Linked DNA regions of Ovis aries. The protein of the gene in region 3 interacts with the protein of the main gene of each other region in a pairwise test. Links are inferred from orthologs where the notes say so. Each region holds a gene or a part of one and is shown on either strand. Other genes may lie near its edges. The genes, in order: COPB1, COPA and COPB2.

Evidence for each region.
Region 1: the proteins of COPB2 (region 3) and COPB1 interact in a two-hybrid assay, tested with the Homo sapiens proteins (2 studies listed by BioGRID, with this or other methods). The link is inferred for Ovis aries from reciprocal best matches to the Homo sapiens genes COPB2 and COPB1.
Region 2: the proteins of COPB2 (region 3) and COPA interact in a two-hybrid assay, tested with the Homo sapiens proteins (2 studies listed by BioGRID, with this or other methods). The link is inferred for Ovis aries from reciprocal best matches to the Homo sapiens genes COPB2 and COPA.

The regions. Positions count from the first base shown.
Region 1 is NC_056068.1:38,004,059-38,007,711, reverse strand, and holds part of COPB1 (coatomer subunit beta), read right to left. Parts: intron 586-3,653; coding exon 358-585; intron 202-357; coding exon 22-201; intron 1-21. UniProt on the Homo sapiens protein: The coatomer is a cytosolic protein complex that binds to dilysine motifs and reversibly associates with Golgi non-clathrin-coated vesicles, which further mediate biosynthetic protein transport from the ER, via the Golgi up to the trans Golgi network.
Region 2 is NC_056054.1:111,321,249-111,324,901, forward strand, and holds part of COPA (coatomer subunit alpha), read right to left. Parts: intron 649-3,653; coding exon 486-648; intron 385-485; coding exon 238-384; intron 1-237. UniProt on the Homo sapiens protein: The coatomer is a cytosolic protein complex that binds to dilysine motifs and reversibly associates with Golgi non-clathrin-coated vesicles, which further mediate biosynthetic protein transport from the ER, via the Golgi up to the trans Golgi network.
Region 3 is NC_056054.1:250,337,931-250,341,583, forward strand, and holds part of COPB2 (coatomer subunit beta'), read left to right. Parts: intron 1-836; coding exon 837-925; intron 926-1,017; coding exon 1,018-1,124; intron 1,125-2,408; coding exon 2,409-2,552; intron 2,553-3,436; coding exon 3,437-3,567; intron 3,568-3,653. UniProt on the Homo sapiens protein: The coatomer is a cytosolic protein complex that binds to dilysine motifs and reversibly associates with Golgi non-clathrin-coated vesicles, which further mediate biosynthetic protein transport from the ER, via the Golgi up to the trans Golgi network.

The DNA.
Region 1 (3,653 bases), on a different chromosome or scaffold from region 3:
GTGTATTTGGTATATCGTTACCTTGTTAAGTTTAGATGCTAGGGGATCTGCGGCTTCTTTTCTCTGTGTGTTACCCATTGCTGCCAGCAAACTCAGCTGAAACTGATCTTCCTTGCAGTTCATTTCATTCTTTGCAGTTAGTTGCATGAAGGAAATTGGGTCATCAGGCTGTACTGTCACATTCCTTTTTTCAGATTCTTTCTGTGTTGCAAAAACAATATATCAACTCTCTTTAATTTGGAAAAAACGATAATTTTTGGAGGCCTTCAACATAGACACTCCTCACATATGAGAACTGAAAAATCAACAACAAAGAACACAAAGCACTTTTATGCCTTTATCATATATATACCTTACCTTTTGGGATAATTTTTCTTCTTCAAGTTTAGCAGATAACATGTGAGAAAGGGACTGTCTGCATTCCTTATTGAAAATGTCATTCATTAAAGGTGAACATTCAGATAAGACCTTGAGGCACAAGGAGATTCGATCTACATCATCGTCTGTAATCGGCTTCTTAGGAAGAGAGGATTTTCCCAAATGTAGGATAGTGGCCATGAGCAACATTGCTTCAGCAACAAAAGACTAGACAAGGAGAGAAACGGTTTATTTATTGTCAGGCTTCTACAAATGCAATAACGTCACTTTAATATAACTCAAAATTCAAGAAATTAAACCTAATATCACTTAACCTGAATATTTTAGATTTTATTTTTTACACCCTTTTCCTTCCTGCCACCCTCTAAAACCTTCATTAACCCTCAACTGATAGAGAGCAGAGATTTAAAAACTTTTTTCTCTTCCTCTATTTTCTCTTATACTTTCCAACTTCAGAAAGATAAAAGAATGATTTTTTGTTACTGTTCAGTCTCCAAGTCATGTCTGACTGTGTGTGACCCCATGAACTGCAGCCTGCCAGGCTTCCCTGTCTTTCACTATTTCCCTGAGTTTGCTCACTCATATCCATTGAGTCAGTGATGCCATCCAACCATCTCATCCTCTGTTGCCCCCTTCTCCTCTTGCCTCAATCTTTCCTAGCATCAGGGTCTTTTCCAATTTGTTCTTTGCATCAGGTGGTCAAAGTATTGGAGCTTCAGCTTTGGCATCAGTCCTTCCAACGAATATTCTGAGTTGACTGCCTTTAGGATTGACTGGTTTGATCTCCTTGCAGTCCAAGGGACTCTCAAGAGTCTTCTCCAGCACCACAGTTCGAAAACATCAATTCTTCAACTCTTAGTCTTCTTCATGGTTCAACTTTCACATCTATACACAACTACCAGAAAATCATAGCTTTGACTATATGGACCTTTGTTGGCAAAGGGATGTCTCTGCTTTTTAATACACTGTTTAGGTGTGTCATAGCTATTCTTCAGGAGCAAGTGTCTTTCTAATCTCGTGGCTGCAGTCACGGTCTGCATTGATTTTGGAGCCCAAGAATGATACACTTCACCAATTGTTAATATTCTGCCAAAACTGTGTTCTTACTCTAACCATATATGTACATTTATTTTTTTGACTTGGGCTTCTGAGGTGGCTCAATGGTAAAGAATCTGCCTGCAATGCACGAGTGTGGATTCAATCTCTGGGTTGGGAAGTTCCCCTGGAGAAGGAAATGGCAACCCATTCCAGTATTTTAGTCTGGGAAATCCCAGGAGCCTGGTGGTCCACGGTATCACAAAGAGTCAGACTTCTGACTTAGCAACTAAACAACAACAACAATTTTTTTGGCTTAACGTATGAAAGCAAGAATCTTTACTTCATAAGTGCTTTAGCAAACATCTCTTGATTCAGGACAGTTTCCTGGATAATCATAATATCATTATCTCACCTAAAAAACGTAACAATTCCCAACTATATCTACTACACTCCAAATTCAACTAAATCTTACTAATTGTCACAAGATTTTTTTTTTTTTTTTAAATCCAGGATCAGGTTCATGCATTTTGATTATTATTCTCTTTAGCTCCTTTTAATCTAGACCAGTCCCTTGGTTTTCCATATTGTTTTCCACCATTGTGATGTAAATGTATCTACACATTGTGATCAGCATACATATATGAAAAAATTATCAGAAGCCTGGGGAAGAATAAATCTAATAATCCTTTGTGTCCAGATATGGTCTCCACAAGGAAAGAGAAGGGGAGACAGAGAAAAGTAGCTAAAGAAATAATAACCAAAAATTTCTCACATTTGATAAAAATTATAAAACTACATATTTAAGAAGCTCAATGAACCATAAGCAAAGGAAACATAAAGAAAAGCACACTAAAGCATATCCTAATCAAATGACTGAAACCTGAAATTCTAATTATAGTGATAAAGAGAAAACCCAAAACCAGCTGGAGGAAAACAGGACACACTCCACAAAGAGGCACAAGAGCAACATCTTGATAGTATGGAAAGCCAGAGGACAATGAAGCAACATCTTTACAGTGCTAAAAGAAAAAACTGTCAACCTAGAATGCTATACCTACAAAGATATCTTTCAAAACTGAAGGAGAAATAAGGGCTTTTTCAGACAAACAAAAACCTAAAGAATTAACTGTCAACAGATCTGCACTACAAGAGAAGTTAAAGCAAATTCTTTAGGCAAAAGGTGTATGATACCAGCGAGAAAGTCAGATCTACATTAAGAAATGAAGTGTGTTGGAAAAGGCATAAATGAAGGAAAGCCAAGACAGCACGGTGATGAACAACCAAACTTCCTTCTGCCTTGTACCAAAGGTGGCAAATTTCTTGAACTAGTATGTTACCAGAAAGCTGGTTCTCTTAAACAGATTCCAGCAAATGCTCTCCCAACTTGCAGAACCAAGACATAAAATGTTGGAGATTTTTAAGAAGCATAATTTAAAGAACAGACGAGACCTAAATAAATAAATAAGGGCCCTCAGAGAATTACAAAGTAAGTTACTCCTCATAAATAAAAGTAATTGATTAACAAGAGATAAAACATCTTATAATTTACCTGATCTTCTGAATCTTATGGATTTATGAGTAAAGCTATATATGATGGACATTTTTTTAAAAATCCTTCAAAAATCCCTAATCTAAAAATAAAGTGTCATCTTATATGCAGGTCTGACTACATGAAAGAATCTAATGGATTATTATGGAGCTATTGAATATTATTATGATTAGGAAGGGTTTAGAAGAGCATAGGGAAAATGTTATAAAGTTAAATGGAACTACAATATGGTAATACACAAAATGATCTCTACTAGGGAAAAAGTGTTTCAAAGATAAAAGTCATAATAAACTCTGACAAAAGGTTTTCGTTGACCTGAACTGAACTGAATGTAATCCTATTTTTTGATGTTTCTATCTCCACTACAATATTAATAAGATTTGTACTTCAGTGTTTTAACCATGACTGATTTTTTTCTCATTAATCTTCATTACATCACTCCTTATTTTAGCAATGTGAAAAAAGATATGACTAAAAATAAAATAAAAAACACTCAGTTTTACCACAAAGTGATTTTTTTTAATGAAAGCAAAGATTTTTTTTCAGGCAAATGAAAGCTGAGAGAATTCATCATCAGCAGACCTGCATTATAAGAATAATCAACTCCTTCAGGCAGGAAGAAAATATCAGATAGAAATCTGCATGTATACAAAAAATTAAAAACACTTAAGTATAACTTTTTTCTCAT
Region 2 (3,653 bases), about 140 Mb from region 3:
CTTCTGTTGTAAAAGTTACTGAATTCAGACTAACTCAGAATGACAACAACAGTAGAAATGCTGTGGCAGAAGCAAAAATGGGCAAATAAGCAACAGGAAGATGGCTCAATGACTTAAAAAATCCTAAAATTCATTACACGGGCTGAAGAAGCAAGCCCAGAATAATGTCTTCCCAAGGCCACGGGAACCCCTTCGCCTCCTCTACCACAATACGGGGCTTATAACTACTTCTCTCACCTCGGTGTTTCCACACTCCAGTGCCAGACTGAAGCGAGTTTTCTCATCCTTGACGAAATGCAGCGCCACTTCAGGATATCCCTTCTTCTGAAGATAAGCAATGATAGACTGGCCTACGAGTTTTGCATTCCTCACCATGTGTAGCACCTAGACATTTGGGGTGGGGTAGGCAGGAAATAGAGATCATTTATAGGAAAAAAGGAGCACTGCCCCTCTCAATACTCCTAATATGCTTCCTCATTTCATACCTCGTCATATTTTCTGTTTATCAGGGCCAGTTTGAACTTGAACTCAGTGGGATCAATGGTGAGCACCCGAGGACGACACTCCCTGTCCAGGCAATATACATTGTTGCCCTTCACCCGCGTGACGTAGATAGGTAAATCCAGAGTTCGGATGATCCCATAGTCCCTAAGAATAAGAGTTAAAAAGCACAATTTTCAGCAAATGCATGGGTAAATCCAGCCTATATGGAAGTAAGACAAGTCTAGTACCTAGTCTTTTATCTTCTCATTATCCCTTTCTCAAGTGCCATTTGAACAATGGTATAGATGTGAAGTGAAATCAAAAAAGAGCAGAACTAAATGCCAGACTTATTTTATTCTCTTGTGTGAAGTGGGAAAAGATGGGGCAGATGGTATGATTTCTCTTTATAAGCTAATACTCTACAATCTAAGAGACACAGCTATCAGAACCAGACCTGAAAGTTAAGAATCTTAAGTTCTGATATAGAATCACTAGACCACTGCTGCAACTGCTTAGTCACTTCAGTTGTGTCCGACTCTCTGACGCTAGGGACTGTAGCCTGTCGGGCTCCTCTGTCCATGGGATTCTCTAGAAGAGTACTGGATTGGGTTGGCATGCCCTCCTCCAGGGGATCTTCCGGACCCAGGGACTGAACCCGGGTCTCCTGCACTGCAGGCAGATTCGTTTACCACTGAGCCACCAGGGAAGCACCACTAGACCACCATGAACAGGTCAATCCTTCCTTATAAGCTGTGAGTGAGAGCAGAAGACAGGTACATGTGAAGACTCCTGACAAAGAAATGACGCAAGGCATGTGATGTTTTAAACTAAACGAAAATTAAAAGTTTACAAATGAAAACTTGTGACTGTAGCTAACACAATACTTGAAGGATAATTTATAATGTTAAGTACTCACATATTAGAATACTCAAAAATTAATGAGCTCTATATGTTTAATATTAGGATAAAGACTAAAAATTAATAAGTATCCATCTCAAAAATTTTATTGTTCTTTTAAAAGTTAAAACAAAGAATATACTTGGAAGGAAAAAAATAAAGCCAATAGTAGAAATTAAGAAATAGAAAACAAAAATACAATAGAGAAATTCAAATTATTTGAAAATAGCCTAATAAACTAAAATTAAAGTGGAAAAGATTTGTGGACCTACTATGGCAACCCACTCCAATATTCTTGCCTGGAGAATTCCATGGACAGAGGAGCCTGGGGGCTATAGTCCCCTGAGACAGTCAGACACAACTGAGAGACTAATACTTTCACTTTCTTTTACCAGATGTAAAGACTTACAAAACGATAACACTCAAGACAATGCAGAATTCGATCATAGATAGACAAAAGACCACAAGAAAACACATCTTTGTATTTCTGTAAATGTGATTCATATATCACAAAGATAGCTCTGCAGAACTATGGGGAAAAGTTGGTATTTTTCAATACATGATGTTGGTACAAAACTGAGTGTCCTTATGAAAAAGTAAAGCTGAGCCCACTCACTACACCTTACACTATATACAAAAATCAACTTCAGGTAGATTATAGACCTAGATGCAAAAGGCAAAACTATAAAGTTGTCATAGGAAGAGGTAAAAGAATGTTCTTATGATCTTGGAGTCAATAAAGATTTCTTAAATAGGACACAAAACTTGATATCCATAAATGATAAGATGCATAAACTCAACTACATTAAGAACATCTGTTCATTAAAGGATCTCAAAAGAATCAAAAAATATGCAACAGAATGGGAGGTGATATTAGTATTTGTAATACATTGCCATCACAAAGGATCGATATTCAAATAAATAAAGAACTCCTATAATAAAAGAACAAGGATAACTTATTTAAATGAAGGATAAAAGCCTTGAACAGGTAGACACAACCAAGTCCTCAGTGCAGATGTATCACAGATGAGAAAATTGAAGGACATAGTTCAAGGAACTTGACCAAGGTTTGCTACAGCAGGGAAAGACTTTGCCTTCATTGGTCAACTCAGATTAGCGTACTGGATGGATCAGCTGGTGGCATCTAAAAAGAGAAGAAACCCAGCTCCACCCACCAGAACTCCAACACAAGCCTCCCTAACCAGGAAACCTTGACAAGCCACTGATAGAACCCCACCCACAGTGAGGAAGCTCCATAATAAAGAGAACTCCACAAATTACCAGAATATAAAAAGGCCACCCCAAATGCAGCAATATAACCAGGATGAAGAGACAGAGGAATACTCAGCAGGTAAAGGAACAGAAGAGTTGCCCACCAAACCAAACAAAAGAGGAAGAAGTAGGGAATCTACCTGAGAAGGAATTCCGAATATTGATAATGAAAATGATCCAAAATCTTGAAATCAAAATGGAATCACAGATAAATAGCCTAGAGACAAGGATTGAGAAGATGCAAGAAAGGTTTAACAAGGACCTAGAATAAAAAAGAGTCAAAATATAATGAATAACGCAATAAATGAGATCAGAAACACTCTGGAGGCAACAAATAGTAGAATAATGGAGGCAGAAGATAGGATTAGTGAAATAGAAGATAGAATGGTAGAAATAAATGAATCAGAGAGGAAACAAGAAAAACGAATTAAAAGAAACGAGGACAATCTCAGAGACCTCCAGGACAATATGAAACGCTCCAACATTCGAATTATAGGAGTCCCAGAAGAAGAAGACAGAAAGAAAGATCATGAGAAAATCCTTGAGGAGATAATAGTTGAAAACTTCCCTAAAATGGGGAAGGAAATAATCACCCAAGTCCAAGAAACACAGAGAGTTCCAAATAGGATAAACCCAAGGCGAAACACCCCAAGACACATATTAATCAAATTAACAAAGATCAAACACAAAGAACAAATATTAAAAGCAGCAAGGGAAAAACAACAAATAACACACAAGGGGATTCCCATAAGGATAACAGCTGATCTTTCAATAGAAACTCTTCAGGCCAGGAGGCAAGACATACTTAAAGTGATGAAAGACAATAACCTACAGCCCAGATTACTCTACCCAGCAAGGATCTCATTCAAATACGAAGGAGAAATCAAAAGCTTTACAGACAAGCAAAAGCTGAGAGAATTCAGCACCACCAAACCAGCTCTCCAACAAATTCTAAAGGATATTCTCTAGACAGGAAACACAAAAAGGGTGTATAAACCCGA
Region 3 (3,653 bases):
GAATAATTTATACAAAATAAAAGGCACTGTTTTAAGTGTATCAGCGAATTTGGACAAATGGATGTAACCTATAACCACCAGCACAGTCAACATTTCTGTCACCTCAAAACCAATCCCCTTGTTTCTCTTACAGTCAGCATCCCACCCTTGTTCCCCACTAGATTAGATTTGTCTTCTTTAGGATTTCGTCAGTGGAGTTGTGCGGTATGTACTTGTCGTCTGGCTTGTTTTGCTCAGCATAATGTATTTGAGCTGCATCCATGTTGTTACATGGGCTTCCCAGATTGCTCAGTGGTAACGAATCTGCCTGCAATGCAGGATATGTGCGGGTTTGATCTCTTATCTGGGAAGATCCTCTGGAGAAGGAAATGGCTACCCACTCCAGTATTTTTACCTGTGGAATCCCATGGACAGAGGAGCCTGGCAGGCTACAGTCTGGGGCTGCAAAGGGTCAAACACGACTGAGCGACTAAACAGCAGCTTGTTGCATGGATCTATAACTGGCTCCCTTTTGGGCAGAGTAGTAGTCCATTTTATGCGTAGACGACAGTTGGTTTACTCATTCACCTGTTGAAGGACATTTGGATCTTATAAAATGGTTTGTAAGCCCTAGTAATTTGTATAATAGACATTGTGAAGCCTGTTCATTATTTGTCCAACTGTAAGCAGTTCACTGATCTCTTAGGAAAAAAATATATTAGTGAATCTTCAGATATTAATTTTATATTTTTGTGTAATTCACTACTTAAATACATGTGAAGATACTTGTAATATTTGGTGGAATTACAGTTTAGTGTATATGTAATAGGTTATGATTGCTTTCCTTTTCCCCACAGATATGCAATAAGAGAGAGCAACAGTGTTGTAAAGATATTTAAGAACTTTAAGGAAAAAAAATCATTTAAACCAGACTTTGGAGCTGAAAGTAAGTGCTGTTTATATTTGATACAATTTTAGAAACTTTGTAATCGCTCAAAAACATCTAAAGATCTGAAAATATTTTGTTGTTCTTTGTAGGTATCTATGGAGGCTTCTTACTGGGAGTCAGGTCTGTAAATGGTTTAGCTTTCTATGACTGGGAAAATACGGAACTCATACGCAGAATTGAAATTCAACCCAAACACGTGAGCTTCCGTCTTTGCTATTGTTGGAATGTACCTCTTTGTGACAAACTCTGGGTCCCTGAGGCCAAGAAATACCCTGGTACCCTGCTGTCCCTGTCCCATTGTGCTGGACATGGGGCCATTTACCTCAGGATTGCGTTAAAAAGGAAGATTGGGGTATTTGAATAAGGCAGTAGATGTTGGGCTTTTTGAAAAGTATAAAGAGCTGTACAGATACCAAGTGCTAGTCTTATTTTAAATGGCTTTAATGCTTTGAAGAGGAAAAGTCAATGAGTTCTTGGCGTGGCAAGACCTGCAAGTCTCCCACTCAGTTCAGAAAGCCTTTGCCTACGTTACCTGATAACGGCTATTTAAACTTTAGGTGGCCTTTCACCAGCGACAGTTTTCTACCTTTAGATCTGCCTGCTTCTTTGAGAGCTTTCATTGTCAGGAAGTTATCTCTGGAGACAGGTATCTCCCAGGGTCCTAGTTCTGAGTTCTAGAGTCTGCATTCTCAGCAAGGGGGGCATCATCCTTAAGGAGACAGACATCAGTTCCTGAAACCAGTCGATGAGAAAAAGTACTCTGTTCTGTCTGTAAAGCATAGATGTTCATATGTTCATACATGTTACGAGCTTGTGTACTGTGTGTATGTTTATGTATTACATAATGTATAGATGGATAGTGGGCGTCCCTGGTGGCTCAGTCAGTAACGAATCTGCCTGCAATATAGGAGACCTGAGTTTGATCCCTGAGTTGGAAAGATCCCCTGGAGAAGGGAACGGCTACCCACTCCAGTATTCTTGCCTGGAGAATTCCGTGGACAGAGGAGCTTGGCAGGATACTCTCCATGGGGCTGCAAAGAGTCGACATGACTGAGCAGCTTTCACTTTCAGATGTGTAGTATCTGTGATAATAAAACTTGATAAAGGAAAGCGATTGGGAAACAATGCCTAAAAAAGGTTTGGGGTGGGGGTCATAATGGGGGTGGGAGGGAGGGAGAAACACTGTTGAAGAGCAGCTGGGAATATTCTCGTGCTCCTCTGAATCTCAGTGCACCCGGGACCTACTGCCAGCATTTCTTCCTGCCTCCCTTAGGGCTTTCCATTTCTGTACATAAAGTAGCAGCGCCCTGTCCACCCTCCCAAATGTGTGTGTGTGTGTACATATATATGTATCAGATTAAGTGCTTACTTATTATCCTAATGTAAGAAGATAAGTCTTGTAGGAAACAGCATATGCAGTTTGTCACATTCATATAGACTCTAAAATCGTTTATCTGGGTTTTTGTTTGTCATGTCACAGATTTTCTGGTCTGACTCTGGAGAGCTAGTCTGTATCGCAACTGAGGAGTCATTTTTTATCCTTAAATATCTGTCAGAAAAAGTCTTGGCTGCACAGGAAACACATGAAGGAGTTACTGAAGATGGCATTGAAGACGGTTTTGAGGTAATTGCATCAATAAAACTTCAGCTTTGTTTTTAAATGAATTATGTACTTACAGCTGAACTTCACTCATTGTAACATTTTATTATAAATTAGGTTTGGGAAAACTTAATAAACATTTAAGGGGTTACGGTAAAATGTGAAAATTAAAGTCTTGGCTCAAAGATCAGGGTCTGAAAGTATTTGTTAAAAGAGATTTGTGCTTTGATTATAGGAAATCTTTAGACCAACTTTGACAGTTTTTCAGTAAGGAAGTTAGAAGTTGTTATGGTCCTAAGACAGTTTAGCTAGAGTTATTTAAAATGGGTTTTCAAGCAGAGGGAGCCTAGCCTGGTGCTCTTCGATGACTTAGAGGGGTGGAACTTGGCGGGGAAGGGATGGGAGCTCAAGAGGGAGAAGATATATATATTCATTATGGCTGATTCACTTTGTTGCACCACAAAAACCAATACAATATTGTAAAGCAATTTTCCTCCATTTAAAAAGTAAATTAAAATAAGAGAGTCTATAATTATCTTTAAAAAAATAAATTAAATGAACTTCCAAATATAAAGATAAATCATCCATGGTGGAGGTATCTTAGAAGATTTTATGAAGTACTTATTATGCCAGTCTCATGTATGTTAGGAATTTCGATCAGCACTTTCTTAGATTATAGCTTTGGCTCAACGGTGAGACTTAACATTATAGGTGCTCATCCAGGAATCTGTTCTTAAATGAATAAAGAAGATAGACATTCCAAGAAAGATTTTCTTTCTTGAAGTAGGATTCTTTCTTTGCATCTCTTTCTCTATCTGTCACCCCTAATTATATTCAGCTTTTTATTATTGACAGTTTGTTATTTGTTGTTGAATAAGATAATAACAGGCTTCATTTTCTTTCTGTAGGTTCTTGGTGAGATTCAGGAAATTGTGAAAACAGGGCTGTGGGTAGGCGATTGCTTCATTTACACAAGTTCTGTGAACAGATTAAATTATTATGTCGGAGGAGAAATAGTCACCATTGCCCACTTGGACAGGTAGCTGACTATCATTTTGCTTTTGTTTTTAACATCCTAAATTTAAAAGTATACTTTAAAAATAAAACCAGTTGCTGGCTTGTTAC